4 linked regions of the Arabidopsis thaliana genome follow. The protein of the gene in region 1 interacts with the protein of each later gene in a pairwise test. Each region holds a gene or a part of one and is shown on either strand. Other genes may lie near its edges.

What was found.
Region 2: the proteins of KRP2 (region 1) and CPR5 interact in a two-hybrid assay, tested with the Arabidopsis thaliana proteins (one study listed by BioGRID).
Region 3: the proteins of KRP2 (region 1) and AT1G55890 interact in a protein complementation assay, tested with the Arabidopsis thaliana proteins (one study listed by BioGRID).
Region 4: the proteins of KRP2 (region 1) and CYCD3;1 interact in a two-hybrid assay, tested with the Arabidopsis thaliana proteins (2 studies listed by BioGRID, with this or other methods).

Annotation. Positions count from the first base shown.
Region 1 is NC_003074.8:18,797,198-18,804,567, reverse strand, and holds KRP2 (KIP-related protein 2), read right to left. Parts: upstream 4,263-7,370; 5' UTR 4,061-4,262; coding exon 3,734-4,060; intron 3,658-3,733; coding exon 3,596-3,657; intron 3,512-3,595; coding exon 3,344-3,511; coding exon of another isoform or gene 3,340-3,343; exon of another isoform or gene 3,275-3,339; coding exon 3,202-3,274; 3' UTR 2,973-3,201; downstream 1-2,972. Other genes in the region: AT3G50640 (uncharacterized protein), read left to right, coding at 1-385, 498-541. UniProt on the Arabidopsis thaliana protein: Binds and inhibits CYCD2-1/CDKA-1 complex kinase activity. Regulates cell division which is crucial for plant growth, development and morphogenesis. May regulate early lateral root initiation by blocking the G1/S phase transition.
Region 2 is NC_003076.8:25,943,604-25,952,670, forward strand, and holds CPR5 (CPR5 protein), read right to left. Parts: upstream 4,795-9,067; 5' UTR 4,719-4,794; coding exon 4,332-4,718; intron 3,772-4,331; coding exon 3,715-3,771; intron 3,610-3,714; coding exon 3,574-3,609; intron 3,497-3,573; coding exon 2,282-3,496; 3' UTR 2,080-2,281; downstream 1-2,079. Other genes in the region: AT5G64910 (Serine/Threonine-kinase), read left to right, coding at 74-121, 190-321, 425-511; CIP8 (COP1-interacting protein 8), read right to left, coding at 735-1,739; ATH13 (ABC2 homolog 13), read left to right, coding at 5,513-5,986, 6,073-6,208, 6,293-6,459, 6,547-6,667, 6,750-6,850, 6,991-7,089, 7,301-7,411, 7,497-7,576 and 8 more.
Region 3 is NC_003070.9:20,896,881-20,904,836, forward strand, and holds AT1G55890 (Tetratricopeptide repeat (TPR)-like superfamily protein), read left to right. Parts: upstream 1-4,362; 5' UTR 4,363-4,483; coding exon 4,484-5,680; 3' UTR 5,681-5,920; downstream 5,921-7,956. Other genes in the region: AHG2 (Polynucleotidyl transferase, ribonuclease H-like superfamily protein), read left to right, coding at 173-299, 388-658, 741-1,479; AT1G55880 (Pyridoxal-5'-phosphate-dependent enzyme family protein), read right to left, coding at 2,412-2,634, 2,743-2,978, 3,083-3,472, 3,568-3,711, 3,879-3,953, 4,063-4,260; TIM50 (Haloacid dehalogenase-like hydrolase (HAD) superfamily protein), read left to right, coding at 6,283-6,592, 6,830-6,927, 7,107-7,143, 7,231-7,292, 7,382-7,495, 7,664-7,768, 7,859-7,956.
Region 4 is NC_003075.7:16,354,046-16,362,455, forward strand, and holds CYCD3;1 (CYCLIN D3;1), read left to right. Parts: upstream 1-3,375; 5' UTR 3,376-3,857; coding exon 3,858-4,331; intron 4,332-4,420; coding exon 4,421-4,622; intron 4,623-4,731; coding exon 4,732-4,862; intron 4,863-4,935; coding exon 4,936-5,259; 3' UTR 5,260-5,520; downstream 5,521-8,410. Other genes in the region: AT4G34150 (Calcium-dependent lipid-binding (CaLB domain) family protein), read left to right, coding at 990-1,035, 1,142-1,246, 1,354-1,480, 1,572-1,643, 2,333-2,378, 2,464-2,773, 2,873-2,910. UniProt on the Arabidopsis thaliana protein: Involved in the control of the cell cycle at the G1/S (start) transition. Activates the G1/S phase transition in response to cytokinin hormone signal, but declines in response to sucrose starvation leading to G1 arrest.

The sequences.
Region 1 (7,370 bases):
ATCAGATCGGAGAAGAGTAATGCTAAGAGCAACAACATCAACTCGAGAAGCTCTTTCTCCATGCCCTCAGCTGATTTCGCTTTCTCAGTCACCGATTACTCGATGATTCCCGCCGATGAAATCTTCCTCAAAGGAAAGATTTTACCTTTTAAGGAGACCAGTCACGTCCATAGGACCTTAGGAGAAGAGCTTCTTACTGAAGAGGAGGGTTCTATGGTCGATGGTAACACTTTCTCCCTCAGGCCAATATTGTTGTCTTCTTCATCCTTTTCCACAAAGGGCACGTGGAGGGAGCTTTTGGGACTTAAGAGGACCCATGTTAGATCTAAGAAGACTGATAAAGTCAATGAGGAAGTGTTAAGTCAAGATCACAAAATAATCTCAGGTATACAAACAAAAACAATCCTCTGTTTTGAAATTTTTATTCTTCTTTGGATAACCGGAGATTCCCAAACCAATACTAATATGAGCTAGTGAAAATCTTTTGGACTGATCAGGAAATGTTGCAACGAGGGAGTGTCAAGTTGCAGATACAAGATGAAGAAAGTTTAGAGCTCCCACTTTGGTTTCTAGAAATTAATTTAGATTATTTATGATAATCTAGATTGACTGTATCTAAAAGGTCTTTGGACAAAGATGGTTCCAAGTTACAACAACTCTTCTCGCTCACGTGTTTTGTTGTTCTTGTAAGTTTTTGTTTTGTTTGTGGAATCAATCATTTTGTGGAACATCTCTATTTTTTAATGCCAGTGAAGATTTGTGTGTAATACTTTTTCTTTTTATTCACTTTTAGTTATAAGTTGTCTGCATGCACTTGTCTCACGTACCACTTATTATCATATATTCATATCGACCAATTAAACTTCTTTTCCCACTTTAATTTGATGGTTTAGTGTATTTAGCATAATCAAAATAGTATGTGCGTGAGGACTTGTTCTGAAGTATTTATTCCTCTCATTCGTTGAAAATGAAGTTGAAGAACACTTGTTTTTTTTGTTATGAATGTTAATATCATTAAAAATGAAAAGGTTTGGCTTTACAAAGTAGGAGCCCTTAAATTTGTATCCTTGGCAAAAAAGATAAAACAAGGAGACAAAATAATTAGGAAAATGGATGAAAGAGATTCATCGTATCCAAAGTTGCATCAAGTTGCGGAATCGTTTGCGCTTATGTCTTGCAGTGATTATGTTTCTTGTTACTCGATCTATGCCCTTGAAGATGATAACCGGAGGAATAGAAACCTGATTGTGAACACTTGTTTATCAGATGATCAAAGTATATAGAAACATGGTACTTAATTACTAACACAGTGACTACTCTCGTTATAAGTAGTTATCAACTTATCATTGGTGATGTATATGATGATGCACTTTAAATAGGTAATGAAACATATAGGACCTGAGTCAAAAAAATGTACTGCATTGTTTGAACAAATGTACTAAGATCAAAATGTATATCATCATCAGTTCATCACCATATTTCGAAAAGAACAATACTTATAAATTTTCTGTTTAATTACTTAATCAATAAAAGATGCGTATGGTATTAGAAACAAGCTTTTGTCAATTGTGAACAAGCAAAGAAAGATCCAATTCTAATAGAATTCAGTTTCTCGAAATTTTGTATATAAATAATAATGTAAGGAAGATATATGATCATATGAATGGGCTCAGAATAATTTTAAAGGGACTTGTTGTTCTGTGGAACACAAGATTGACAAAGGAATCTCTATATTGGGCCCGTAGAGTCCAACTCATAAAAACGAACAAGTGGAGAAAAAGACTCCAGCTCTCTTTACCACTTATTGACAAAAACAAAAAAGAAGAAACAAGAAAAGAGTAAAATCTTTGCCTCGTGGGTTTTAGTGTACATTCTCGCATCTTTGTGTTGTGTCAGTTTCTTTAACCGATCAGTACAGTACGACAGTTTTAAACATTTTAATCATAACCTCTGAATTTTCTCGTTGAATCTTGAGTTCTAGTATTTTTAAAGTAAGAGTGATAATAATGACAAACAAAAAAAAGTACTCCGTAGAAAAGGAGAGACCAAAATTAAAGGAGGAAAAAGTTAATAATAAAGCCATTCTTGGTTTAGGAAATTAAGAGAGTTATGTAATAATGGCAGAGTTTGGTATGAAAAGATTTGTGATTGACCATTTCTTTACTCGTAGAAAGCGACCCGGAAATAAACACCAATCATATCTATCTGTATTTTTTATTTTTTTAACAAATAATTCTGATCTTTAGATCCATTTTTTGGTCCAGGAGTAGCTTTAACTATGTAAATCATTTTTCTTACAGAGATTTAAATGACTCAACTTCATTCTAACTTCATTTTTCTAAACAAATAAGTTCTGATCTTTAGGTCCATTTTTTGGTCCAGGACTAGTTTTTAAAGACCGTAAATCATTTCTCTTACAGAGATTTAAATGACTCAACTTCTTCTTCTTCTTCTTCTTTTTTTTGGTTGTTGCTAATCGAGTATAAATTATAGGCGTTAGGTACACCAACCATATCTAATATCCATGTTATATTAGATAGATAAATTAGGAAAATAAAATAATACAACTCAAAATAGTTACTTTGTTGAAAGAAATTGAGAGGGAAAAACTGGAAGTGTATATTTAAGCTATTTTATTTTTAAAAAATATATAATTTCAAATAGCTAAATTTGTAAAATGCAAGGAGATAGTACAATATTTTAGTTTAATAACTTGTAAAGCACAAACAAGTTCGTAGTTAATCACTAGAGTAGCACCTACAATCCAATCCAAGTGAGAATAAAATAGTAACTTTTTTACTGAAAAAGCCTGATCAATAAACAGTTATATTCCTTTACCACGTCAGCCGTGACCCTTTTTTGTTCTGCTCTACACTCTCTTTTCATTGTTAAAAAAAAAAAATCAAATACTGTATGATAATTGATACATAGAAATAATAGAAGCTATTTAGTTTTCAGTAACAATTATAATTACTCTTAGAGTTATAAACTTATAGTTTATTAATCGAGAAAAACACGAATCTAATTAATTACCTCAAGGAAGTACAAACAAAAGTTGAATTACATGTTATTGATTATTCGAGAGAAAGATATCTACATTTGGATTTTGTTAAAAGAAAAATCAAAGCAAAGATTATTACAGAAGAGAAATAATAAGTACTTTGGTGAAAACAATGATCATCATTATCATCATCGTCTTCTTCATGGATTCAATTTAACCCACTCGTATCTTCCTCCACCAAGTGGCTCATCTTTCTCGAAATCGAAGTTATACCTAACAACAAATTCATTATCAGTTTCAAAAATTCGATTAAAAGATTTGAATCAAAAAAAAAAAACTTACTTCATAGAACATTCCAACAACTTATTCCGAAGATCTTTCTCCGCCACCTGAAAAAAGTCTTCTAACTCAGCTTCCTTCACCGTCTCATGGAGACTCTTCCTTAACCTGCGGCGAGACTCTACATCTTCAACAGCCACCGAAGAAGAATCCATGTTCATCGATTCCTCACTATACACAAAAAAATCAAAGACATTTTATAGAAATGTTTGTTACTGATTCAAAATTTTAATATCTGTAACAAATTAAACAAACCTCTTATTCAAATCATCGTAAATCCACGACGTTTCTGTTTCACGATCGTCACCGTTATTTTCCTGGAAAAACGAATTCAAAAATTTCAAAATCTGTAAATCAAAATTCAGTTTCGATAAATAATGCTTTCGTTGTCACCTCAAGATCTACAAATTCGATTCTCCGTTTCGATTTCTCTTCCGATGTAGAACAACACGAAACCGACGAATCTTCTTCTTCGATTTGACACTGTTCTTCAACCGGAGGAGAATCTCGCCGTCGTACTATAACAACACTCGTCTCCGACGCTCCTGCTGAATTTCTCGCCACAATTCCACCGCGATTCGTCGCCTGTACACACGGAGACAGAATTATCCTAGATTCCACTAAATCCACTTCCTCCTCCATCTTCCTTCGTTTCACCGTCGTCGTCGTAACTCCATTCTCTTCAACCACATCTCGTTCTCTTCTCCTAACCGCCGCCATAATCTCCTACGACGTCACCTTCCAGATCTCTATCTCTCTCTAAAATCACTCGTTATGTGTGCGTGTTTGTGTTTCTCTCTCTTTCTCTCTACTAGAGAGTCTCTAGCTCGCGTACCATTTGGGTTATTCTGTTATAAGATGGTGACGATCTTCGTTTTGATCGTAATTTGTTAACGGCCACGATTAACTCTTGTCATTTTCATATAAAGCCTCGTGTGAAGTAGGAATAGTAATTCTTTTAATATGTAACGGAGAATTTGACGGCGCCGTTAAAAATCGAGTATTTTATACCTTACACGATTGATACGTGTCTTTTATTCGTTACGATTACATTAATAGTTTCAAAGTTTACAAAATCAGTGCAATTAGTGCATATCTAGTTACTTTAGAATGATAAATTTTTTTGAATTCAAATTTTTTTGAATTAATATGTTGTTTTTATTTATTTTAATATAATTGGCTGGCTTTTCCAATAAATCAACGAGAATGAAAATAATTATTGTGGATATTAAGATAAAACTGTTTATTTTTTGTTATAATAATTACGAATTTATATTATAAAGATAACAATAATACCATCAAATTATCATATTAATTCACAGACGATCAAATAGATAAAAAAATGTGTGTAAAGCAATATAATGTATATGCAACATGGAATTTGACAACGATGTTATAGATCGAGTATCTTATACCTTTACACGATCAACATATGTCTTTTATTCGATGTGATTACATTAACGGTGTCAACGTTTACAGAATCAGTGCATATCTACGACTACGTTAACGGTGTCAACGTTTACAGAATCAGTGCATAATTTTTTTTTTAGAATGGTAAATAGAATTTGAATTCAATTTTTTAATTAATATGTTTTCTGTTTTTTAAAATAATTGGTTGGTGTTTCCAATGAAATAGAATGAGAATAATTATCGTGGATTTTAAAAATAAATTTAGATTTGATAATTTTTTGTTGTAATAATTGCGAATTTAGATTATAAAGACAATAAAAATCTTAGATTTATAGAGAAAAATGACAATATCATCCAATCATCTTAAATAGATTAAAAAAAATGTGTGTAAAGCAATGTAATGTTGTCACGTTACATTATTAGTGATAATATGTGTTTCTGTGTTAAGATCTTATCAGTATTTGACAATGTAGTTGTGTATAGTTTTTCAATGCATAGTCGTAATATTTCAATTTTGTGAGGGGGTCGACCGTACACATATCAAAATAAGGTATAAAATACATTAAGTCTAAAATACATTAAGTCTAGGGCCATGACGTATTTAACGGTTAGGTGATAATGAAATCAATGCTGCGACATGCTGTTTTGTTGTGGCAATACAATACGTACACAAACATATTCACATGCTTAAATATTACTACTAATTCACACAGTGAATTAAATACTACTAGTTCATATCGCATACATTTCGTTGGTAAAAATAAAAGAATTTTTTTCCATCATCATTTTCGTCTTATATTGAATTTTTTCTTTTTTTTTAATGCCGTCGTTCTGTATCGATTCTTGAGTTCACACAAGACAGTGTCTGCGCATATCCATCATACCATTCAATTTAATAATGTGCCCACGAGCTGCATACTCAATCATTACTAAACTGTCTCTCTCTTTTTTACACTCACTATAACAATGTGTAAGTATATATACATACTTATGAGATATTCAAAATAAAATAGTGAGCTAAACATATAATGTAGTTTAAAAATTCGCATAATATATGTTGTTGACTTCAAAAGAACAAAGATTATCATAACAATTACTACGAAAATAAAATTATCATATATCTATGTATACATCCGTAGTTCTTAATTATGAAAACTTAAACGCTAGTACCAACAAATGAATCCCTAAGTTTTAAAATCTCTCAATGAATACATATTGATATTCGTTTTGAAGGATAATTTTCGATTTAAATTGTGATAGTATTTATCGTAAAACATTACTTTTAGATATGTCCCAGTTTTTATCCAAATATACATAAAGACTGTGCCTATCATGAAAAGTGAAATTGCAACACATCTAAATATATCTTTCTAGATGGAAAAGATATCCAATAAAAACGAAAAAGACTTAAGTGAATGCAGACAAGGGCACATGGGATCTTTAGTGATTTGTATTGTGTGGGCACGAAATTTTATAATCCATAAAGTCTATATCATGATCACAATTTGTAATCACGTATAAATGTTACTACAAGTCTCCAAAGCACTTAAACCCTTTAACAAAACAAAAAAAAGTCTCCAAAGCACTTTCTATCGTTTTCTTACAGTTATATCAAAAAGACAGTCACTGATTCAGAGTTTCATAATCATTTACAATTATAGTGTAGAAGAATGCAGTTTAATCTTGAGTACATAAAAATACAGCAAAATGACTTAAAACCGTATATAGTGTAGACCAAAATGCGAAGCAAAATTGCCGTTTCTCCATTTCTAAAATTTGAAGATGGCTTAAGTTTAAAATAGTCGTTAGTATGAGTGTTTGATTAACGAGTAAAGTGATAAGTAGTAAAGTATTATGTTGAGTAAAAAAAAACCTTTAACTTCACATTTTTTTTTGTTACTTGCGTGATCGAGTGTAGTTTTTTTTTTGTTTTTTTTTGGTTATTTTATCTGATCGAAGAATGGAACCTTAGTTATATGACATTTCATAGTTTTGTCTGTTTCTTACGAGATTAACGTAATTTATAAATTCAATTTGTGGGGATCATGTATAGGTGCGAAGCTACCACATGATTCACAACCACTGTTGGATTGTCAAAACAAAAAGATAAAAGAATGATAATTGATGGAGGTGGGTGGACCCAAAGCAAGGCTAAATATATTCCCAACTAAAACATTAATTAAATTGATCAAGCTAAAATGTATATATATTCTGATTTCTCGATCTGATTTACATATGTTTATGCGACCCCAATAATGTCCTTTTATGAATTAGACAAGAGTTCTTATGGTATTTATGTATTTAGTATTTGAAGTTTTGAACATAAAACAAGATCGACTTAATTACCGTAAAAGACAAAACAGAAAAGAAATAAGTTGATAAACTACTAACTATTCAGAGAAAAACAGGATTAATTTCATTTTTTTTCCTTTTTAAAAATGAAGTACGAAGTCTATTTCACAAGAAATTAAGAAGATTAAATTGTAGTAATGAACATGTCCTTCCCCATTATATGTAAGCAGTCAATGAATGATTGGAATTTGGAAACTTTAACGTTACTCTGACTCATAAACTTACTAAGAAAGGTCCACATTAAGAATATTATCAAATTGCATTAATT
Region 2 (9,067 bases), on another chromosome or scaffold:
GCTGGAATTGATTTGATGAATTCATTTGAGGGAGGTCTCTAAAATCACTCACCCATATGTTTCCTTTTTTCAGGAGTTTGTCAAAGAGAAAAGTGACAAAGCTATGGCAGCTTATGACACGGTATCATGTTTCATACCCTCTGCTACAGAGCCGCACATATACTTAACAATGGATTCTACAATTGGCAGGCACAAGAAGCCCTAGAGAAAGCAAAGGAAGGACTGAGCGAAGAAACAAAAAAAGCCTATCAAGAAATGAGGTTGTACAAGTTTTATCCATTGCCTTCACCAGACACACCCCACACTGCAGGAATTGAGAAGGTACAAAACAAATCCAACTTAGTTTGTCAATGGAACTCTGAATATTATTGCCAAAATCTGATATAAGTTTGTTGGTCTCTGTGCAGTCCCCGTTCATAAACAGGTACTTCGGGAAGGCTCACGAAGTCCTGTAACCGTTTCTCCTAAACCCAGGAACCTTTTTGTTTCGGCAAACTTTATGAACAACTGAGAATCAAAGAAACCACTATGGGATTGTTTAGGCCAAAGATACAACACACTTACAAATAACAATTGTCTTTTTGGAGCCGGATTTTTTTTTTTTGTTCTCTGTTTTCTCGCTTCTTTGATGCAACATGCAACCAACCAAATAGTGTTGAGAGACTAAGCAAAGATTAATCTAAAGAGAAAGAGTAACAACAAAAGTAACAACAAATGGGGGCATTTCCTCCACTTCAGTAACGAGAAGTTGAAGAAGAAGAAGAAGCAGCAGCAGAATCTGACACGGTAGAAGTTCTTTTTTTCCTCTCTTCCTCATATTCAGCATCATCAGTCTCAAGCTGGAATCTACAGACAGGACAAGAGTTCCTTGTTCCTAACCATGGCACAATACAATCTCCGTGGTAACAATGTCCACACGGTAACTTCTTACCAGTTTCTCCCATCACCATTCCATCTTTACACACAGCACAAACCATAACCATCTCTCCCTCCGAAGAACTAACCTCGAAAGTCTCCAATGCCTCTATTGCCGATTTCGCAGCCGGTGGTGCGCCTCTCCTTCCTCCGCCACCACCACCATCTCCTTCTGCTAAATTCTGTAGCAAAGCTTCGTATCCGGCTGCATCGTCTATGTAATCAGCCGGATTTCCTGCGTATCGATCTGATTCCATACGGAACTCAATCGAATTGTCTTCGATTCCCATCAAAATCTCAGCCCAATCGAGAATTCTGTTTCTTCCGGTTCTCGACTGCGTCGTCGTGAGAGGAAAACGATTTCTCCTCCTCAGATCATCTTCTTCGTCTTCTTCGTCGTTGACGGTTAAATTCTCTTCCTCATCCTCTTCTTCTTCATCTCCATCATCTTCATCTTCGTCTTCGTCATCGTCGATTTCGTTTCTACTATTGAGCTCCAACCTGAAGAAATCATCTTCGTAAGATAAAACATCAAGGTGTCGTGGTGGTGAACGCTGAGAAGGCGCGTGGGCTAACAAGCGGAGCATCTGGAGGAAATGCGAGCCAATACTGGAGTCTTCTACATTCAGATCTGGGGAAAGTGGCTGCGGTGGCGCCGGCGATGAATAAGCGGCGGGAGTCGGTTGAATTGACTCGACGAAACCTTTGTTACATTCGCAGCACACGACAAAGTCATCTAAGGTTTCAACGACGACGCGTTTGTTGCAGTGATAGCACCAGTGCGACGCCGTGGCATCCGGGGAAGACGACGGAGCATCGGACATCGTGCAATTAATCGTCGGGTTTTCAGGCTTTCGGGTCCGGATTCGGATCCGATAAGCCGATTAAGAGGATGGAGAAAATAAAAGAAAAAGGTCTCTCTGTATTATTATTATCGAATTTTTAAGACATTAGAGAATCCTGCTCATTTACCCACTTGACCCACCCACAATATCATAATATTTTCTTCTATATATGATATCACCATCATCATAAATTCATAATACTTACAATTTAATCAAACTGTTCAATTGCTGTCAAACATAAAAATCAAATTGTTCAATCCAATTTAAACCAGCTTCCAAATCAAAACTGACTTGCACTTTTATCCAAAAACTTGATAAGATAAAGTACCATTTGACCCATGAAATTTTGTCATATCGAAAAGCATAATTTTAATTTCTTTTGACAACAATACAAACATATAACTCGAATACATAACTTTGTAATAGCGATACAATTGTTTCAACAGCACCCATAAAATAAAATAAGATTAAAAAACCCAAATCGTTACAATAAATTACAATACAAAGATGGCCTCCTCGTCTCAAGCATAGTCAGACCCACCATGAAGGTGATACATAGCGAAGTCTCTCCATTCACCAAATGTTGCAAATGGCAAAAGACCGTTTATGACTGGAAGAACAAACAGAATCACCACATACACGACACTGCGCCTTGCCCAATATGGAAACATACTGTTACAACGGTTCGATCTGGTCTCTTGAGTCACGTTTATAGGACCGAACATTAGACCATACAAAGCCAATGTGAAGACATTTGCAACGAATTGCAAAAGGCAAAACACTTCCCAAACTATTAGCCAGAGTTTGCCATCACCGCCCAATGTGTCCACACACAATTTACCCGATACACCGCAAAATATACCGAGGAAAAGAACGATGAAACTTATCGGCATTGTCTGCTTCGTACCTGATGATCGTTTGTTTAGAAAGTAAGTGAAGACAATGATCATTAACACACCGAAAAATATCTGCACCCAAACTCGAACCCGGCAGATGAAGGTGTTGAAGCCTGAGTTAATCGATGAAACTTGTTTAGGAACCCACCACGACGAACTTTTCTCCTCGGATTGGTCGCATACTGAGGTAGCATCCTCGATTCTCTTTATTGAAAAATTGTAAACGCCAAGTACCATAGAAGCCAACATGCTGAAGACACTTACGAGGAGCCAATCCATGATTCTTGTGACCATCTCTTCTTTTCTTGTATCTTCTAATTCGGTTTTGAATTTCTCCGCTCTGAATGCAGCTTTCGAAACATCCAACTCTAGCGCCGCTTTCCCCAGGTTGTTTGATTCAAATTTTAATCCTAGCGCCGTCTCTTTGCACCTTAACTCTCTTATTTGAAGACCAATCTCCACGGTCTTTAGGTCGTTTGCTCGTGTTTGCTCTTTTAAAAACCTTTCGTCTGTGGTCAAAGCCATTGCTGAACTTCTAGGAGGGACACAAGAGAGTTGTAGAGTCTCTTCGAAAAGGGCAAGCTCATTCATCAAAGAGGTTGCTGTTGCACTGCCTTGCATCACTTCATAAGCAGACGTAGCAGATGAAGTCTCCCTCTCAAATAGCTCGGTGTCTGAGCATCCGTCTATGGTAGAGCGATCTAAATTACAACTCCCACCATCATTATTGTTTGACTGATGTGGATTTGCACATTCATTGGTCAATTTAAGGATCTTTAGAGTACTGCTGAATGTTTGCTCAAAGTTGGTCGCAAAGGAACCAAGCTTATTACCATAAACCTGTAACCACAACATTATGAATCAGAAAGTCTATAAATATAAAAATGCGGAAAACATAGAGGGGGATTTTAGCTTACATTGGCTAATGATTCTTCGACAAGAGTAGCAAAGATCTGGAGAGCATAATCAATGAAGTTCTTGTATCACTACCAAAACGATGGCAAAAGAAAGATTGAACAGAAACTGAGAAGAAATCATTTGAAGTTCATACTACTTACCTCAACAAGATCATCAACATAAACATTCTGACCTGCGGCATTCTTTCTCGCAATAACCTAGAGAACAATAAAACAGAGTAGAAACAGAGTAAGAACTACAGAGCATATGCAAGTCAATGACTTTGGCGGCTAGGTAGGATGAAATTTGGTGAAATCACAATCAGAACTACAAATCCGAGTAGAAACTAGAAAGGCTCAAGCTTTAAGGCAAGTGAGAGAGAAGACAATATAAATTTGCAATGTTACATTGAAGCTCGATCATAGAGACCCCCAAGAAGAACTTCAGCTTCTATTGATTGACTCTGATTATAATTTGAGGAGAAGATCCTCTCTTCGATTCAGGGTGAAGAATTCACGCAAGTACTGAGAGAAGAAAATTCAGATTCAATCCTTTTGACTCTGATTCAGATCCTCTCCTCTGTCCAGTTTTGAATCAACAAAGCCTAAATTGAAAGACTTTGTATTTAATACTATCTAAAGATCAAAACTTTCAACACAACCAAAACCTAGTATTCACGCAAGGTCAACTATAGGAACAACCCGTACCAGCAAAGCCAATTTCGTATCAAAACAGTTATGTGATGCAATAAAGATCAAAGTTTGGAAATTGATCGAACCATATTAGCAAAAGCGGCAAGTGAAAAGCCCAGAGGCTTCGCCAATTTTTCAGCTTGTCGTTCACCAACGCTTCGTCGAGCCATACCTAACCGCATAGGGTTTCGTAATCTATGAACCACTCTCGTAACCCTTTTAGTAGAATTTGAATTAGAGGTAGAAGATGTAGAACAATAGGACGAAGAAGCTTCGTCGTTGTCCATAATCTCTTTCTTCTTTCCCTTGAGTTTTCTCTTTTCCAAATTCGATGGATTCGTATCCTTCTTCTTCTTCATCATCATCGTCTCATCTTTATGTACGTCACCAGATTGATGATTTGGCTTTGAATTCGCCGGATTGGTGATTTGATTTTGGGGTTCCGGCGAAGGAGGGAGGAGGAGGGCTTCCATAGCCTTAAAATATAACTTATGGGGTAAATTTGCAACTTTGAGAAAAGTATTTAAGTTGTAAGACTTTGGTCGCTTCGTGACTAGTGAAAAGTTTCGAATTTCCAACTTTTTCCTCTGATTTAATTTGTATTTTTAAAAATTCGTCATAATTAGCTTAATATAGGAAAAATACTTGACCAAATATCTGAATTAACTTGTAAGTTCAACGAATTCTTCAAATTATACAATGTATATGTTAATGTCAATTAAATAGGTAATAATATGTTTACTCGATTTTTAGCGATAATTTGATGTTTCTAGGTGCTTTCTGTTCAATGAATAGGATCGGTTCAGTACTTAATTGAACTAAAAGTCATACATATAGCTTAGGACCAGATTAACATACCAAGTAGTCGAGTTTAGGACCGAACCAATCAGTTTGGTTTGAAGATGGACCATAAAAGTGTTTGGAAAAAGGAACAATAAAAAAAATCGCACAATGTTTGTGGCTCCGATAAATAACACGATGAGGTGTCTTAACACAACCAATCAAAACACAAGAACATCTCCTTCACTAATCTCATCTTATGCCACGTGTCCTTTTCATATCCACCCCTTTTATTTTATCATAATTTTTTTTTTTAACATTCTCTGTGGTTCGTCATGAACCTCAAAAAACCTCTCACTGCAAAGTGCCAACAAACAACAAGTCTTCACCTTCTTCTTCTTCTTCTTCTTCAAAATCTCTTGTACGCAAATAATCCATGAGAAACTAGGGTTTAACTTGAGATCTCTCTTCCGAAGTATTACCATCAATGGCGACTTCTTCTTCTTCATCGTCGTCTCTGCTTTTACCAAACATCAATTTCAACTCAAGACAATCTCCAACAATCACTCGTTCCGTTTCAATCGCCGGGATCTTCTTACCCAGAAACCGATTAAGCTACAATCACAATCTCCGGATTCGTACGAGATTAATCAGAGCTTCTAAAGACGATAATGTCGCTGTTGAAGATCGTGATAATGCAGTGAAGATCAACGGTGATTACAACGGAAGTGCACGTTTAAACGGTAACGGCTCTGCGAGAAAATCCGTCAACGGAGATTTTAACGGAAGTGCTCGTTTGAACGGTAACGGTAGTTTGGTGAAGTATGTGAACGGAAGTGTAACGGTGGAAACGGAGGAAGTGACAAAGAAGAGAAAAGAAGAAGTGAGGAAGAAGAGAGTAGAAGATATTGGTCAAGAGGATGCTTGGTTTAAGAACAACACTCAACAAAAACAAGTTGAGGTATAAAGTAATGTACTTTTAATCAATATCGTTTTGTTTAATGATTCAATTCCTTGAAAGTTTGCTACTTTAATATTGTTTTACAGGTTTCTGTTACACCTGGTGGTCGATGGAATAGATTCAAGACTTACTCAACTATTCAAAGAACATTGGAGATTTGGGGTTTTGTTGTACAGTTTATTTTCAGGACTTGGTTAAGCAATAAGAAGTTCTCTTATAAAGGTTGATACTTGTTTTTGTTTGCTTACGTCTAGGATTAGGACGATTCTCATTTTGTCTAAATTCTTGAAAAATCATGTGTATAAGGGGGAATGACTGAAGAGAAGAAGGTTTTAAGAAGGAAGGTTTTGGCTAAGTGGTTGAAAGAAAACATTTTGAGATTAGGTCCTACATTTATCAAAATTGGGCAACAGTTCTCTACTAGAGTGGATATTCTTCCTCAAGAGTATGTTGATCAATTGTCAGAACTTCAGGTTTGATTTCTTTTTATTCTATTTGAATTTGTACTTGTGGCCTGTGAGGCTCTTCTTTTTTAAGTTTTATGATCTTATGCTTTGCAGGATCAAGTTCCTCCTTTCCCTTCTGCTACAGCTTTATCCATTGTTGAAGAGGAGCTTGGAGGTTCTGTTGAGGACATTTTCGACCGTTTTGATTATGAACCTATAGCTGCAGCTAGTCTTGGTAAACGTCTTTGTGATAATCTTCTCATAAATTTGCAAGAGATGATAATAAAATTAATGGTTTTTGTTTTTAATTCATATAGGGCAAGTTCACCGTGCAAGACTTAAGGGTCAAGAGGTTGTCCTTAAAGTACAGAGACCTGGTCTGAAGGATCTCTTTGATATTGACCTTAAGAATTTGAGGGTTAGTGTCTCTATACCACAGTCATTATAGAGCTTTTCCATGTTGCAAGCGTCCTTATCTCGTGATTTTCTTATCCGCTCTTCTGAAGCTATTTGCATGATGTTCTGCTGAGTCAATGACTTTGTTATGCTTCTATTTAGGTGATCGCTGAGTATCTCCAAAAGGTGGACCCAAAATCAGATGGTGCAAAGAGAGATTGGGTTGCAATCTATGATGAATGTGCCAGTGTTTTGTACCAGGTATGATGATGTGGTTTAATGTTTTATCACTTCTTGTGAATAAGTTTTGGACCATTTTACCGGAGAGAAAAAGGAAAATGATTTTGATTTTGAGTGTGCTTTTGTTGCTAATTGTCCTTTGCGTAGAAGCTCAGTCAAATCTTCCTTTCTGTATCCCAACTTGAGTGACCTCTAACTACTGCAGTAATAACAATGTGCTATATTTTTTCAGGAAATTGATTACACAAAAGAAGCAGCTAATTCGGAGTTGTTTGCTAATAACTTCAAAGACTTAGAGTATGTAAAAGTTCCATCCATCTACTGGGAATACACTACACCTCAGGTATTATTATTACCTATGACCATTAGTTCACCATTTGTGAAGCCTTAAGCTCGAATGCAATAGTTATGCATTGAGTTCTTTGCAGGTCCTGACAATGGAGTATGTCCCTGGGATTAAGATTAACAAGATACAAGCCTTAGATCAGTTAGGTGTTGATCGAAAAAGGTTTGTATTTTCTTACATCTTCCTCCCAGACTTATATTTGTTATTTCTCTTTGAATCCAAAATAGTTTCGTTGTTGTTGATTGATAACTTGGTACAATGCAGGCTAGGAAGATATGCTGTTGAATCTTACCTGGAGCAAATCTTATCTCATGGATTCTTCCACGCCGACCCTGTAAGTCTCTATCCTTTTTTTTTTACACTAAGTGTCAACAATCTTTAATTTGGTGTACCAATACGAAAAGACTACAATCTAATTTGCTTATGTATCTTTCTGCAGCACCCTGGGAATATAGCAGTTGATGATGTCAATGGCGGGCGGCTGATATTTTACGACTTTGGAATGATGGGAAGGTACTACATTTTATTATGCTACAACATGACTCTGTTAGTATGTGAAAAACTGCTTCGGTTCAATATGGTGAAGAAATGTGATCTCCTTTTATCAACTTGTTAAACTTATGGTTCTGTACAACGTGTTTTACACTTGCAGTATTAGCCCAAATATTAGAGAAGGTTTGTTGGAGGCATTTTATGGCGTCTATGAAAAGGATCCAGATAAGGTATAGTCTCTAAGGTGTTCTCACTTTCAGTCTTCTACCGACATGCCGCATACGACCTGAGCTCATACTTAAATATATATGAATTAACCTTCTTGTGGCAGGTCCTTCAAGCTATGGTTCAAATGGGAGTGCTTGTACCAACTGGAGATTTGACGGCAGTTAGAAGAACAGCATTGTTTTTTCTCAACAGGTAATTTACTTGATCCTTGTACCCTTGCTTCTTATCCATCGAGCTACCTATTAAATCATTGTTACTTGTTTGGTTTCTCTAAAGTATGTGTGAGAGTGTGTGCATAATAGATTCCAGTACTATCCCTCTGATAATATCACTTAGCTGATTGTGTTACAGTTTTGAAGAGCGGCTTGCTGCACAAAGAAAGGAGAAAGAAGAAATAGCAGCAGCAGAAGAGCTTGGGTTCAAGAAGCCACTAAGCAAGGAAGAAAAGCAAGAGAAAAAGAAGCAAAGGTTGGCTGCAATCGGAGAAGACTTATTAGCCATTGCGGCTGATCAGCCTTTCCGGTTCCCCGCCACATTCACATTTGTTGTTAGAGCCTTTTCAGGTTTGCAATGTCATTCGAATTTGTATTTTTTGTGTTCAAAACTCAAAAAATATACTAATGGTTACTTTCTTCTGCAGTATTGGATGGCATCGGCAAAGGTCTTGACCCCCGATTTGATATAACGGAGATTGCTAAACCGTGAGTCTTAACACACTATATTTTATCTTCTTGTTAATCAGAAGAGTACTCAAATACTTTTGTTATCCAGCTATGCTTTGGAATTGTTGCGGTTTCGGGAAGCTGGAGTGGAAGTTGTAGTAAAGGTACTTGCAAGGCTTATCTCTACTATATATATGATCTTATCACATAGCTTTATATTCATATTCAATCAAATTAACTATTGTAGGACCTGAGAAAGAGATGGGACAGG
Region 3 (7,956 bases), on another chromosome or scaffold:
ATTTGTTACTAAACATTACATGTCCTTTGGATTTTAACTGAGAGTGTTGAAGTGAATTATTTGATGATAGCAAAGTTCAGGCTCGAGAGATGATGTAGCTATAGTGTAGTAACTGATTCTTCTACTTAAAGGCCTTCTTTGATTTAGATACCATTACTGTCTCTTTTCACAGAAGGAGGCAAAGGACGAACGCAAGAGATTGGCAGAAAGAAAAATACAATCTGCAATCGGGTTCCGTCAAGTGATTGATCTGCTTGCTTCAGAGAAAAAGCTGATCGTTGGTCACAATTGTTTCCTCGGTAAACTAGCAAGTTGCTTCTCTATACGTTTGTGAAGGTTTTGTAACTTAAAGATGCCTAACTCTAACATCTTGTTCATCTGATACAGATATTGCACATGTATACAGCAAATTTGTGGGTCCTCTTCCTTCAACAGCTGAGAAATTCGTGGCCTCCATTAACAGTCACTTTCCTTATATTGTTGACACCAAAATACTCTTAAACGTGAATCCAATGTTGCATCAGCGGATGAAAAAGTCCAGTACATCACTGTCTTCCGCGTTTTCCTCGTTATGTCCGCAAATCGAGTTTTCTTCAAGAAGCTCTGACTCGTTTCTTCAGCAGCGTGTCAATATTGACGTTGAAATAGACAACGTTAGGTTTGTTCCTCCCTATTTTTGGCATGACACTTGACTGTTTTCTGATTTAAACTGCTTTTAACGGCTGTTTTCTCTATTTCAGGTGTTCTAACTGGAATGCAGGAGGAAAACACGAAGCCGGTTATGATGCTTTCATGACAGGTTGCATCTTTGCGCAGGCATGCAATCATCTCGGTTTTGACTTCAAACAGCATTCGCAGTTAGATGACTTTGCCCAGAACGAGAAACTTGAAAAGTACATCAACCGTCTTTATCTCAGCTGGACAAGAGGTGATATCATCGACCTTCGAACAGGCCATAGTAATGCAGATAACTGGCGAGTCTCAAAGTTCAAATACGAGAACATTGTCCTCATCTGGAACTTCCCACGAAAACTTAAGGCGAGAGGGATCAAAGAATGCATATGCAAAGCCTTTGGCTCTGCTTCTGTCACCTCTGTCTACCACGTGGACGACTCTGCGGTTTTTGTCCTGTTTAAGAACTCAGAACTTGTCTGGGACTTCTTAGCACTCAAGCGGCAGCTGGAGTCAAGCGACGGTCCAGTCTCAGTTCTTCACCCTTTATCCAAGATCCTTGAAGGAGGAAACACTGGAGCTGCAGACTACGAAGCATACAAAGAGATTTGCAGCTCACACGTCTCAGAGGTCATGTTCTCTGACCAAGCTGAAACAGTTGGTGTCAAATCAAGAACAAGACCCAACGCACAATGCGAGACTGAGACAAGAGAGGAGAACACAGTCACTGTGACTCACAAAGCATCGGATTTGATTGATGCGTTTTTGGCCAATAGAGTTGAAGTCGAAACTGCTACGAGTAATTAACTATGCCATCTAACATTTTTTTTGTCAACGTGAAACGCAATAATATAATACAAGATAATATGTTTTGCGATGACCAAAATTTTGATAATGAAACATATGAAATAATGTGCGGATAAAACATCTAGAACTATCAGTACTAATAAAGTCAAACAATTGATCTGTTGGAGATGTCAATCTCAATCAAGTTATCTTCTGCTTCAAGTTCTTCCCAAATCTCCATGATCATCATCTCCTCGTAATAATCTTCTCTACTCAGCCAACGTTTCTTCACACTCTCCAACTTTGCTTCTCTCACCAGACAGATCTCTATCAAACCCTCTTCTTCTTCATGTAGGTTGGTTTCCGTTTCCAGACTTTTAAGCTCCTCCTGATCATGACGATAAGATTTGGATTCCTTGTTACACACGGCAATCGTGTGGAGAACGTTAGAGAGAAACAAGATTGGGATCATGCATAGATTCTTCAAGAAAGAAAGTGATAAGATCAATAGTGTCTTATTGACTCCATTTCTTGCCATTATTGGGATCATGAGACCTTACACAACCGACTTATTTATGGAAAAACATGGAAATCTATGTTTATCAACACTTTTGAGTTTTCCAGTCTAATGCATTGAACATAGACAAAATCTAATAGGTACAAAGACAAAATCTGAATACATGTTTCCCATAATCTTGTAAGGGGCCCCATTAGGTCGGGACTTGTAAACAATTGAGAAGACAGGTGTAAGATGCAGTTATGGGAGTTTTAGAGGTCAGACACATGCATTGTTGCATTGACATTCTTCCGTTGACTCTAGACATAGTTGTTGTCTTCTAATCTGAAGTCTTACCAAGAATATATCACCCTTAGTCTAAAACATAATCAAAACAAAACCACTGCAGACCACCCAGGCTTGATTGATCTGAAGATATTGTAACAGATTTGTAGTTTCACTTTATGCCGAGGAACTCTAATCCGATAGCGGTTGGACTTAACCCGTATAAATTCAAGTACTTAGGGTCGTGAAACTTGCTTAGATGTCTCATTCCGCTATCACAAAGAATGGTGACAATTGTGTGACCAGGACCAAGGGTCTGAGCCACCCTTACTGCCCCAACACAGTTCATAGCCGAGGAGCTTCCAACAAAGAGCCCATCATTCTTCAGAAGAAACCTGGGAACATAATATAGTGAGAAAGATATCAAGATCCAACTTTTACGAAATCTTTATCAGTACTCTCTAAAACAGTTATGTCAAAACATATAAAGGAATGAGCACTACCTCGACATCTCAACCGCTTCTTTATCAGTCCCACGAAAACCACCGTCAAGTTTTGCCATCAGGAAGTTTTTAGTAAGCCTGTTGATTCCGATCCCTTCTGTTATTGTATCAAATGGGTTCTTTAGCCGACGCCCTTCAGCTTCTTCTCTTGTGTACATCACTCCCCGTGTTACTTTATTGTACAGACCAGATCCAGGAGGATCAATCAGAAAACATTTAACTCTTTCATTCTTATCCTGTATAAATGCACCAACAAGTTATGAGTTTTTCTTTTGCTTATAACATCCACGAATTACTCATTCTTACATCTTTGATTAGTATAAGCCCTGAGTAATTATACCTGAAGAAACCTTGAAACACCAGCTAAAGTCCCGCCTGTACCCGCAGCAGCAACAAAGGCGTCAATATTACCCTGAGTCTGGTGCCAGATTTCAGGGCCAGTACCTTCATAATGAGCCCTATAATTTGCCAAGTTTTCAAATTGATCTGCAAAGAAGCCACCGGTAACTGAATCTGAGAATAAGGAAGGCTCTTTCACTTCCTCAACCGTGCAACCATTAGTTTTCTCCTGGTGTATGCCATTTGTTTCGCTCCCTAGTCTTCTCTTTGATGCTAACTCGTTTGCTTCGTCAGCCCGTCGCCTCGCAATGTTGACATAGTGATCCTTGTGAGTTATTGACACTGGCCTCACTCTCTCAACAGAAGCTCCAAGGGCTTCAATTATTTGAGACTAAAATAAGTCCAACACGATACAAATTTGAGTGTATGTACAATAATGCATACAAGGGAATTTGAATCATCATCAAGGTATTTAAAAGATATAACCTTTTCAATAGCAGCATCATCAGGTATAACAACATGACATTTACACCCATAAGCCGGAGCAACTGTAGCAAGGCTAATGGCAGTACTTCCTGCACTACCCTCAGTTACAATTCCTCCAGGGAATAGCTTACCAGATTCCAAAGCCTAAACAGAGAAACAAAAAAAACATAATGGACTTGCTTCTCGATTTCAAAAACCACTAATATAAATAGCCAAGCTGATGATTCAATCACTGACATTGTTAAGAGAGGTTTATGATGATCAAAAAACTTTTAAAAGTTGAAACCTTTACAATGCTAATCATAGTGTACCTCTTGAATGATCTTGACAGCAACTCTATCTTTAACACTACCTCCTGGATTCAAAAACTCGCATTTCCCAAGAATCTGATCACCAGACGAAACAAGTAGAATGAAAATTACATCTTTAACTCATAAATCACACTATCAGTTCGTCAGACCAAACAGAAAATAGCAAAAGAACATCGAGAAAAACCTCACATCCAGTAGCCTCAGAGAGACTATTGATACGAATCAGAGGAGTATTGCCAATGGCATCAACAAGCCCGTTTCTCATAGTCAACTTCTCCTTCCTCTTCTTCTTCTCGGAGAGACGGAAAAAGAAGCTGTAAGAAGTAAGCATCAACAACGCCGCTGCTGCAACAACAGCGCCAGTCATATTAACAGGCGCCATTGAAGCTCAAGCTCGCCTTCTCCCGTAATCAAACCGGTGAAGTAAAATTAGGTCGTCGGCAAAACAACACTATTTCTATTATTTGTTATTCTAGCCCCCAATATTTCCTTTAGTTAAAAATAAGGCACTAACATTTTTTAAATTATCAGATGCGTCCTTCATTTGATTTGTTCTTAAACTCGTCTCCTGAAGGCTGAAACCCTTTGCTCTCACTCCCAAAACGATGTCGTCTCTATCTCGCGTTCTCCGTGGCACCTTCAACACTTGCCCGATCCGCCGTTTTTCCTCCGCCGCCACCGTAGTCTCCGAACCCACCGCAGTCACTGCCGCAATCTCGCCTCCTCAAAAGTCACTAACCAGTCTCGTGAATGGCGAACGAAACCCCAAACGGATCGTGGAGAAATTCAAGAAGGCATGTGAGTCGGAGCGGTTCCGGACCAACATAGCCGTGTACGATAGAACCGTGCGCCGTCTCGTAGCCGCAAAGAGATTACACTATGTCGAAGAGATTTTGGAGGAGCAGAAGAAGTACCGCGACATGTCAAAAGAGGGATTCGCGGCGAGGATCATTTCTCTGTATGGAAAAGCCGGCATGTTTGAAAATGCACAGAAGGTGTTCGAAGAAATGCCAAACAGAGACTGCAAGAGGTCAGTGTTGTCCTTCAATGCCTTGCTTAGTGCATATAGACTTTCCAAGAAATTCGATGTGGTTGAAGAACTTTTCAATGAGTTACCTGGAAAGTTATCAATCAAACCAGATATTGTATCTTACAATACTTTGATTAAGGCATTGTGTGAGAAGGATTCTTTACCTGAAGCTGTTGCATTGCTTGATGAGATTGAGAACAAGGGACTAAAACCTGATATAGTTACATTCAACACACTTTTACTGTCTTCGTATCTAAAGGGACAGTTTGAGCTAGGGGAAGAGATATGGGCTAAAATGGTGGAGAAGAATGTAGCAATAGACATCAGGACTTACAATGCTAGGCTGCTTGGATTAGCCAATGAGGCGAAATCGAAAGAGCTAGTAAATCTCTTTGGAGAACTTAAGGCTAGTGGGCTCAAACCTGATGTTTTCAGTTTCAATGCTATGATTAGAGGATCTATCAACGAAGGAAAAATGGACGAAGCTGAAGCGTGGTACAAAGAAATTGTGAAGCATGGTTATCGTCCTGATAAAGCTACCTTTGCTTTATTGCTTCCTGCTATGTGTAAAGCAGGTGACTTTGAGTCTGCGATTGAGCTCTTCAAGGAGACATTCAGTAAGCGGTATCTTGTCGGTCAAACAACGTTGCAGCAGTTAGTTGATGAATTGGTGAAAGGGTCTAAGAGAGAAGAAGCTGAGGAGATTGTGAAGATTGCAAAGACCAATGATTTCTTAAAGTTGAAGCTAAATTTGCCGTCCCAGGAAGAGTAAGTCATTTGCTACTCTCTCACTAAGTGTCTCGTTGAATTGTGTCTGAGCAGCTTAAGCTATATGTATTTGCTGGTGTTGCTTTGTGGCTTTTCTACTTCTCTAAACTTTCCTCTGTGGAAGTAAGACTTGTTTCTTTCTATGTAGTTTCGCTTATTTCACTGGTGCAAAAAACAGCATGTAGTCGAGGTTTAGGCAGAAGAAACCCTACAAATTTAATAAATTTTGGTTATTTGTTTTCTCTTTTTGACACGAATGAATTTATTATTTTTGTTGGAAAAATATTTTCATTTTATTTGGTAAATAAATAGTGTAAAATAACTTCATTAATTAGTTATTAAAAGCCCGAAATGCAAAAATAAAATAAAATAGATTCTCTTCTTGGTAAACAAGTAAAAAAAACAGCAAAAAAAATAGAAAAATATCGGAGTAGAAATAAACCGACTACCAAACAGTGGATAAGAGAGTTAAAACGAGCCCATAAAACCTGTTTCCAAACAGTCCATCTGTTAATTTTCCTTTTCTCCGATCAATTCCAAAACCCTACTTCAACCCTGCGATTCATTCATCATTCACAGAGTTTGAAGAAAACGCCGAAATCGGAAATGGCGTCTATTGTTCTTCGATCTCGCCTGTTGCCAAGATTAGCAAAGCTCAGATCTCGTAATCTGAGATGTTTCTCTGCGGAAGCATCTTCGACGAATTCTACATCTAGGTATTCGGGAGTCACCTCTACCCAGTCGATGTTTTCTGATTTTCCACCGCCAAATCAGCCGCCACCTCCTCCTCCTCCTCAAGTGGAAGCTGCTGCCGCGGCTGCGACGGGAAAGGAGAGGAAAGGTCTTAAGTATCTTGGTTACGCACTCCTCTGGGCACTCACTGGTGCTACCGCTGCTACTGGTTACGCAAGTTTTGGTATGTACTTGCATTCATGAATTATCTTTTTTCCCTCTCGTAGATTTCTAGTACAAAGTTGTTTTTGCTGTGAAATGCGAGTAAAAATGTGTTATGGTTTGCTTAATCGTGGCATTGCATTACATTTTCACATATCAGTCTTTTGAATTCAGTGTTCTTCACTTGGTAGAACTGTGTCTTTCTTCGTTATGTTGACTCTTTTTAGTTCTGATTATACTTGTTTGTTTCGTTATGCAGCTTACACGATAGATGAAGTGAATGAAAAGACTAAGGCGTTCCGAGAATCAGCTACGAAGACACCAGTTATTAAATCTTCTGGCATTGATGTGATTGATGTGAGTAAGCTTGGTAGCCTTGAGTCGCTGTCAAATTAATGTTGATCATAACTTGCTTCTGTATTAGTTGACTTTCTTTAGTCTCTGGCTTTCAAATGCGTGCTGCCATGTTTCTCTGCTTCAAGGTATTGTTTATAAGCTTCTCTGAATTAATACCCTTTATACTCATCTTTCTGCAGAAATATCAGACTAAGTTGTACTCTGCTGCAATGACAGGTATAGTTCTTGCGCCTCTGTCATCATAACTAATAGTATGTCTTTAATTAAGCATAGCATGAGTTGGTTTGCTTGAATTTTGATCAGGTTCTGCTAGAGCCATTGATAAGTATTTAGAGCTTAGGGAAATTGTGGAGGAACAAGTGAAAGTACGTCCTTTCACCGAGACACAACTTTTCTTTTTCTTGCATCTTCTTTTTTCTTCTAGAATTCTTATTTTTTGTCTGGTTCCTTATAGGGCTTCACGGAACCTCTCTCGGAAAAGCTTCTTCCGGATCTGCACCCCGCAGAACAGCATGTCTTCACTCTAGTTCTTGATTTAAATGAGACACTGCTTTACACTGACTGGAAGGTAACATTTCATTTATTTACTGATCATCAAAATACTTGCATCATAGATGTGAATATGTGACTCAGAGTATCTATGTTATGAAACAAAGCAGTTCTGGTGAACTACTTTGTTTTCTTAAGTAGTGCTGTATTTAACTTTTCCTGCCTTTTCATTTACAAAAATGTCTAGCGGGAAAGAGGGTGGAGGACATTCAAAAGACCAGGTGTCGATGCATTCTTGGAGCATCTTGGGAAATTCTATGAGATTGTCGTGTATTCTGACCAGATGGAGATGGTAAAGTCCCAATTGGTTTTTCTTTTTTCTCCTTTTTTGCTTGTAATATCATAGTAATGCGACTACTAACGCTTGTTTCATTACTTGTAGTATGTACTCCCGGTCTGTGAGAAATTAGACCCAAATGGCTACATACGTTATAAGCTAGCAAGAGGCGCTACTAAATATGAAAATGGAAAGCACTATAG
Region 4 (8,410 bases), on another chromosome or scaffold:
TAAGGGACTCTTAGTGTTCATATATTACTTGAGAAATTGAGTTACTATATAAACTTGGATTGGCTTATAACAAGAGAGGTTGCAATAGGTAGCTAAATTTCATCTAGACTTGTAAGAGTTGAGAATCATTTACTTGCTGATTTTGAGAAATAGAATGAGAAATCGAAGTACCAAGCAATAGACAAGTTGGTTTCGATTTTTATTGGACCAAGCAATAGAACTGTATCAAGAAAACAACATATCGGATTTATGGTCCATTTTCTCTTGGTCGACAATTTTTTGAAATGGCGCGACGTTGAACAAAAATTATACGAACAAAGAAAGCTATTTCCAGGTTACTGCCTTTATATTTGGATGACTTGTTCCAAGGGGAAACTTTTTTTTTTTTTGTCTGTCATCTGATGATATTAGAACTTTCAAAGGAACCAAGATGATTGCAACAGCTACACTGTAATCTATAACCATCATGCCATTGGACGCATCCTAGTAAATACATAAGAAAGACACTCCCTTTATTTTGGTCTCCGTTCTTCAGCCACACCTTATAATATCATCCACAAGATAATAAGTGGTGTCTAGCAAATAACAAAGCGAAGCTATATCTATATTTATTTACTTATTGATTGTCGTGAATCTATCTTTAATGGTGACATGCCATAGAATTATCACTATTGTGTGGTTGTGCTTGTAATTGTTTGTAAAAATTTTGATTTTATGAATCAAAGATTATCAACATCTAGACTTTAATAGTTAAGGAAATAATAATATTTAAAAAACGCGTACCTAAATCTAATGAAAAGTCAAAATTACGGTCAACGCCTTACGAGACGCGTCTGGTTCTTGAAAGCAAGTTCTGCGTTATTTCATCATCAATCAAAGTCGCCATTTTATTTTTATTTAAAGTCTCACGTCACGGAATTATCTCTCTGAATTCATCATCTTCATCATTACCTTCTTTTTCTCAATCTCGATTGTTTTCTTCCAAATTCATGTCGATGATGGCGGGTATACAAGGCCAGATTCTCGAGGTCACTGGTTCGTACCTTTCTCACATCCCCAATTCTATTATGTTCTTCAACCTTATCTATGATCCGTTGAAATGTTAACTTTTAAAATTTCTGGGATTCTTTTGATTTGTCAGTTGTTGGGTGCCAGAAATTGAAAGACACGGAATGGTTTTCAAGACAAGATCCATACGTCGTCCTTGAGTATGGTGGCAGAAGTCACCGTACCAGAACCTGCACAGGTTATTTTTAATACCACCTCTTTTATTCATAATTTGTTCAGATCCAGAAAAAATTGAACAAAGTTAAGATCTTTCAATGAATTTGATTGATGGGTTTGTTTTTTCAGATGGTGGAAAGAACGCTGTTTTCCAAGAGAAGTTTATCTTCACTTTGATTGAAGGGCTTAGGGATCTTAAGGTTGCTGTCTGGAATAGCAACACTCTCTCCACTGATGACTTCATTGGCAATGCAACGTATGTGTCACTTCTTATCATTGCCTTGTTATGCTTTTTAATACCCGCTTTGGATTTGGAATTGAGTCTTTTGTTGTTTGGTTGTTATTAGGATTCAATTGCAGAAAGTTCTTTCTCAGGAATACGACGACTGTACCTGGACTTTGCAGAGTAAAACTGGGAGGTAATTACATTGGCTTTACTAGTTTTTGTTCCTTTTCCATTAAGTATCATGTTTGGTAATCTCGATTATTGCATGGTTCACATTTGTCTAGCTGATTTTGGTGCAACTTTTTGATGTGGTTTCTACTATATAGTGCTTGAATATATAGTTTCGCCAGTTGCTTTGCTTTGCTTTGCTTTGTTCTTGTCATTTACTTACAGTGCTGACATGGTTTTGCTCACTGATCAGAGTCGTTATGTGTGTTTTTGTGTCCTAAATTGTTAATCTGTGTGAACTACTTGTTCGAATGTTCTGTTTCTACATTGAGCACACTCACAATTGATGTAGCATTTTGATTAGGTTTCTCTGGAACTTATGAAAGATAACTAGACATTTTGACATAAATGGAGCTTCTATTGTCTGTTGTTAGGTTACCTCAGTAAAGAGATGTGAAGTTGCGTTTAAACATTGTAGCATCAAATTAGAATTTCTTAAAACTGGTCTCTTGAGGTATTCCATTTTTGTTTTTGAAAAAGAGAAAGTTATGTGTTTTTTAATCCATGGCTATGTGTTTTGTTTTCTTAAATTCCTGGAAAATCGGTTACAATGTGCCAAGATTTTGGTAGCTTGTCCTCAGCGATTGCTCCTTGTAAAAGATTACTTTTTTGATTAAAAGCCTTGTGAAAAACATCAACCTTTCTGTCTTGTAGATTCGCTGGAGAAGTACAACTCCTACTGCATTATGCGGGAGCAAAGGTAAGTCGAGCCTCAATTAGCAACATTGGTTAACATGTTCCATTATAAACAAAAGGCTAAACACACAATCCACTCTTGTATGCAGAAACATAATTACGGGTCTGCGCCATCAGCACCGTATGCACCTCACGTACCTCAATACTCAGCACCGCCTTCTGCATCTCCGTATTCAACAGCACCACCATACTCTGGACCATCTCTATACCCACAAGTACAACAATACCCTCAGCCATCAGGATACCCTCCAGCTTCAGGGTATCCTCCTCAGCCATCTGCCTATCCACCTCCCTCAACCTCGGGCTACCCTCCGATCCCTTCAGCTTACCCACCTCCTCCGCCATCCTCAGCTTACCCTCCTCAACCATACCCTCCGCAACCATCATATTACCCACAAGGTACCTTCCTTTCTTTCCTGTTCTATGCTGCAATTGATCGCATTTGCTTGTCTCTAACTATAGTCAGTGGTGGTTGATCTTTTTTCTTCTTGTTTCCAGGTCCATATCCAGGACAATACCCACCTCCTCCATACTAGAGCGTTTGGCGTTTAGAATTTGACGGGAAGTGGTCATGATGTATAGATTATAGTTATGGTGTTTTCTAGAATTTGGCAGACGAATTTCTTTGTTTTGTTTTTTTTATATCATCTTCCTTGTGCTATTGCTAGCGTGATGGTTAATTTTTGAGTTGGTCAGTGAAACTTATTGAGAAGTTTGGATCTTTTCATGTTTAACCAGATCGCAGATTATATTGAATTATTACTCTAAATCCTTGGTTTTGTGTGTTCATCATCCTCTTGAGTTAAAATTATGTTAAAAACAAAAAAAGGTTTTGGTTCTGTCTTTAACTTTAAGAAACGGAACTTATCGGCGTATAATCATCGCACTTGTGATCAGATGCAATTAGAAAAAGGTTATTTGGTCAATGTATAGCAATATCTTTAGGTTCTAACAAAAACATTATTGTTGACAAATAGCCCAAAAGTAGTAGAATTTAGCCGACAGATTTTACTGCACTTTGGTTTCTCGATCTCTACTCCAAATGAGTAAAAAGTGGGTAAAGCGGGAAACAGCAAAAGAAATCACACATTTAATAAAAAATAAAGAAAAAGAAATTCCACATTAAATAATCACAACAAGAAAAACAAATAATATATTAGTAAAAGACAAACGTAAAAACCATCTCTCGGCCTTCTCTCATAAATCAATCTCTCTTCTTATCACTCTCCGAAACCCACTTCCAGCTTTTTCCTCTCTCTTTCTCTCTCTAGTCTCTCTTTTGTAGCTCTCCCCTGCTAAGCTAACCACTGCACGTTTCCATAGAGAGGAAAGATGAGTCTCTCTCCGAGAGATTTTCTCTCTATCATCTTATCTTCTTCCGTGTAATGCTCTGAGCCAAAACCCAATAACTAAATCAACAACAATATAGAAGAGAAGAGAAAGATCTTATCTTTCTTCTCATTCTTGAGTTTAGTCCCCCACAATGGCGATTCGGAAGGAGGAAGAAAGTAGAGAAGAACAGAGCAATTCGTTTCTTCTTGATGCTCTCTACTGCGAAGAAGAGAAATGGGACGATGAAGGAGAAGAAGTTGAAGAAAACTCTTCCTTGTCTTCTTCTTCTTCTCCATTCGTTGTTTTGCAACAAGATTTGTTCTGGGAAGATGAAGATCTGGTTACACTCTTCTCCAAAGAAGAAGAACAAGGACTCAGCTGTCTCGATGATGTTTATCTTTCCACGGATCGAAAAGAAGCTGTTGGTTGGATTCTGAGAGTCAACGCTCATTATGGCTTCTCTACTTTAGCAGCTGTTTTAGCCATAACTTATCTCGATAAGTTCATCTGTAGCTACAGCTTACAGAGAGACAAACCATGGATGCTTCAGCTCGTTTCTGTCGCGTGTCTCTCATTAGCTGCTAAAGTCGAAGAAACCCAAGTCCCTCTTCTTCTAGACTTTCAAGTAAATGATGATACTTGCAATAAATTTCCTTAAAGTTTAAGTCTTTTATCCCTCTGTTCTCATCTCTCTGTTTTTTTGGGGGTTTGCAGGTGGAGGAGACAAAGTATGTGTTTGAAGCAAAAACCATACAGAGAATGGAGCTACTGATTCTGTCTACTCTCGAGTGGAAGATGCATCTCATTACTCCAATTTCGTTCGTAGACCACATTATCAGGAGATTGGGACTTAAGAACAATGCTCACTGGGATTTCCTCAACAAATGCCACCGTCTCCTCCTCTCTGTAATCTCCGGTTCGTAAACGACAAAAAGAAAAAAGCCACTCCATTTCGTTTTACCATCTGCTGAATCTGAGTAATCATCTTACATTCTTGTCTTATCTTCCTCAATTGTCTTTGTCAGATTCAAGATTTGTCGGGTACCTCCCATCAGTAGTTGCCGCAGCTACCATGATGCGAATTATAGAGCAAGTTGATCCCTTTGACCCTCTTTCATACCAAACTAATCTCCTCGGTGTCCTTAACTTAACCAAGGTTAGCTTCTCTAATCATCTCTCTACTTGTTTTCACTCAGTCATTTTCTCAAACAACTCTCGTGCATTAACAGGAAAAGGTGAAAACTTGCTACGATCTAATCCTCCAACTACCAGTGGACCGCATCGGTTTACAGATCCAAATCCAATCTTCCAAGAAACGCAAGAGTCACGATTCATCATCATCGTTGAACAGTCCAAGCTGCGTGATTGATGCAAACCCTTTCAATAGCGACGAAAGCTCAAACGATTCGTGGTCAGCGAGTTCGTGCAACCCACCAACGTCGTCGTCGTCCCCGCAGCAACAACCTCCATTGAAGAAGATGAGAGGAGCTGAAGAGAATGAGAAGAAGAAGCCGATTTTGCATCTGCCATGGGCAATCGTAGCCACTCCATAATCGAAAGCTCGATTTCGTTTATATGATATTTACTGTTTTTTTAAACTTTGAGAACAATCTTTGTTGTATTAAGCTTTACCCGTTTGCATATACGAAATGTCGCGAATGCCCTTACGTGCCATGGCTTGATAGAGTTAATGGGTAAAGGGTATTCATGACATTTGACTGCATGGGATGTGACGAAGGAGAGAATTAGAAATAATAATAATAATATTGCGTAAATTTTGAGGCTTGCCCAATCTTTGGGCCGTAATCTCCGGCGTTATTCATATTTTATTAATGTTTTATATTATGAGTAGTAGTATGTTCTAAAATCTGCTTTGCTGAAGGAAATAATAATTACATACATATTCTTTTACTCCTGTAGTTTAGGAAAGAAAAAAACGCATTTAAATCCGTGCTATTTGATAACTACATTTTTTTCGTCCAGAATGGTGGATAATACAAAATTTAAGAAATGAGATGTCACAATGTTTTAATATTTGAATGAGACTGTTGTGTTTATGATCGAAAGTGAAAGATTTAGCGTTTTTAGCTTTGACTTTTGGGAGAAGAGCCAATTGTTGCTGCTTTTTTTGTCAGTCTTTAAATATAATCGCTTTCAAAGATGAATCAATAATTAAAATTTTAAAACGGAAAGACAAAAATGAAAACGTAACACTATATTATTGCTTTAGATTTTTTGTCTAAAGTCTTGTCAAAACCTGCTCTACACTATATTATTGCGTATCAAATAACTAACTACACATGAACATGTAAGTTGTCGAAAATAACAACATATAATTATAAATGTTTTTAAAAATCAAACAGCGAAACTTAAATCAAATCTACAGAGTGTAGATCTTTCGTTGACCAGTAGATAAATTAACTGCGACAGACAGACACAGGACAAGAAGGAGGAAGTGAAGTAAACGCGCCATATATAGGTGAGTGTTGTTCGACGACGATAAAAATGTGGTGCAGCATTAGTAACAACACCAGAACCAAAGTAACCTGCTTCCACTCTGAGCACCTGGGATTAAGACACGTGGCAAAAAGTATCCAGCGTTACTATTCTTTTTTTCTTTTAATAACATCAAATAATCGTCAATTAATTACGAAAATTGAAGATATTAAATTTAACAATTTACTATTATAAAATCCCTTTTGTATCACGGAAAAGCTTATATGATAATGCGATTGAATCACGAGAAATTGATTTTTTTTTTTTAAACAAAACTTTAGGTTGTGTGAAAATCTTGGCTCCTTCTTTTACACTTTTTCTTTTCCAATTTTATTTTCTCTTTGGACTTTTTATTTATTTATTTTCTTGGCAATAAAAAAAGAGAATTTAAATCTATAACTTTTTTCACGTGTGACACGAATTTTCTACTTTGGGGGATTCAGATTCATCGTTCTTTTTCCTTTATATTCTCAATTTCATTTCGCTACTTAGAAAAAAAACGAATTGCTTTAGCTGATGTCGTTTCTTAACGCTCAGCCTCACGTCATCAAAGCATTTAAACTCCCCTCGTTCATGTAATCTTACATTAATACGTATGCGTAATGCGTTTATGTATTGTTTAAAACAAAAGATCCGTTCTCTAACTTCAACTAAAAAGTTAACATCCATGCATATGTATTAGAATATCAAATTAAGCACAAATATTAACATGTTAGCAAAAACATGACTCTTTATTTCTACAATATGTATATCGACTTTTAATCACAAGTTTACTGGCTGTAGAAAATAGGTATATTTGTGTATATACGATTGAAAGTGTTCATATATTATATATATGATATGTTTTATTTTTGCCGTTGTTCTTGAGCAACTATATGCTAATATATATAGGAAGAAATAATATATTCTTCTTATTATTCTTATTTTGTATTTTTAAAAATAATATTTTATAATTTGCAGAAGAACGGGAACAATGTGATATATCAAAACTGAACAAATAAAAATACTGAAATTTGAGTAGTTAATCTAATAAAAGAATCTCTAGTGCAAAAACACTGGTTTAAAATTAAACAATTAAGATGATATATCAAAACTTGCATACCAAACTATACAAAAATTATAATCGGCCACATGCATTACTATAATTTTATGATAACATTTGAAAATCTGGAGTAGGGCATGTAGCTACATAATTGATGAAAGGTGAAAAAGGATGTATGTGGAAATCGGGAGGTTTTCAAAATGGGAGACCAAAAAATCTTTGTAGTTATTCGTTTTCTTTTACAAATTTCAAATAATAAATATGTTGTGGAGAATGTGTTTTCTGTCCTTTTTTTTTTTTTTTTTTTTTTGTCTCTTCTAATGGTCTTCTCCTCTTTAAGGTATGTTATCAATATCATGGTACCATACGCATCTCGTGAACCATATAATGACTTGCCATAAATTATTTATTTCCTGAAACAAAGATAAGATGAAAAAGAGATTACTTGCTACGAAGAAAATAAGTTCTTTTAACCAAAAAAAAATTGGTCGAAAAAAAAAATTCTTCACATCTATTTACAGTCTTTACTTTTGGGTATAATATATACTCTTCTGGACCGAATAATTCATTCCCTTCCCATTCCATCCCATCAAATAAATGTGAAACTATTCTTAGTCAGCTTTGAATTTTGGTAGTTTTATTTTTAATTTTTAATTAATAGGTGTTAAAATCGATGCTTTTTTATTGAAGAAAACTCAGTTATTAAAAAAAGAAATCAAAATATATTTGTATTGGTAAAAACAAATGAAAAAAGTTTAGAAAAAATGGGAAAGGAAAACAGCTTGCACCCAACATGGAGAAAGGGCAAAGAGGTCAATGTGTCCCCACAACAATAATTATAGAATATTATTATCATTCTCAATGGCTTTGTGACCTTTATATCTTAAATATTTCTTCTTTTGACCTAGTCTCTTCCCTTTTTACTTCCACTCTTCTTTTTTTCTTTTATTGTAATTTGAAGTGACGAGAATGTGTGTATGGTCAAAATGTTATACCGGGGAGAAGATTACAATACATCAAAATTTGTTACAGAACTGCTGCATATGCTTATCAGTATTCTCTGAGAAATTAAGTAAGTTAAGATAAATCACAAGTAGAGTAAACTGTGGAAACACTTCTAATCTAGCGATTCATCGATATGGTTTAACATTATCTCTTACGATCGA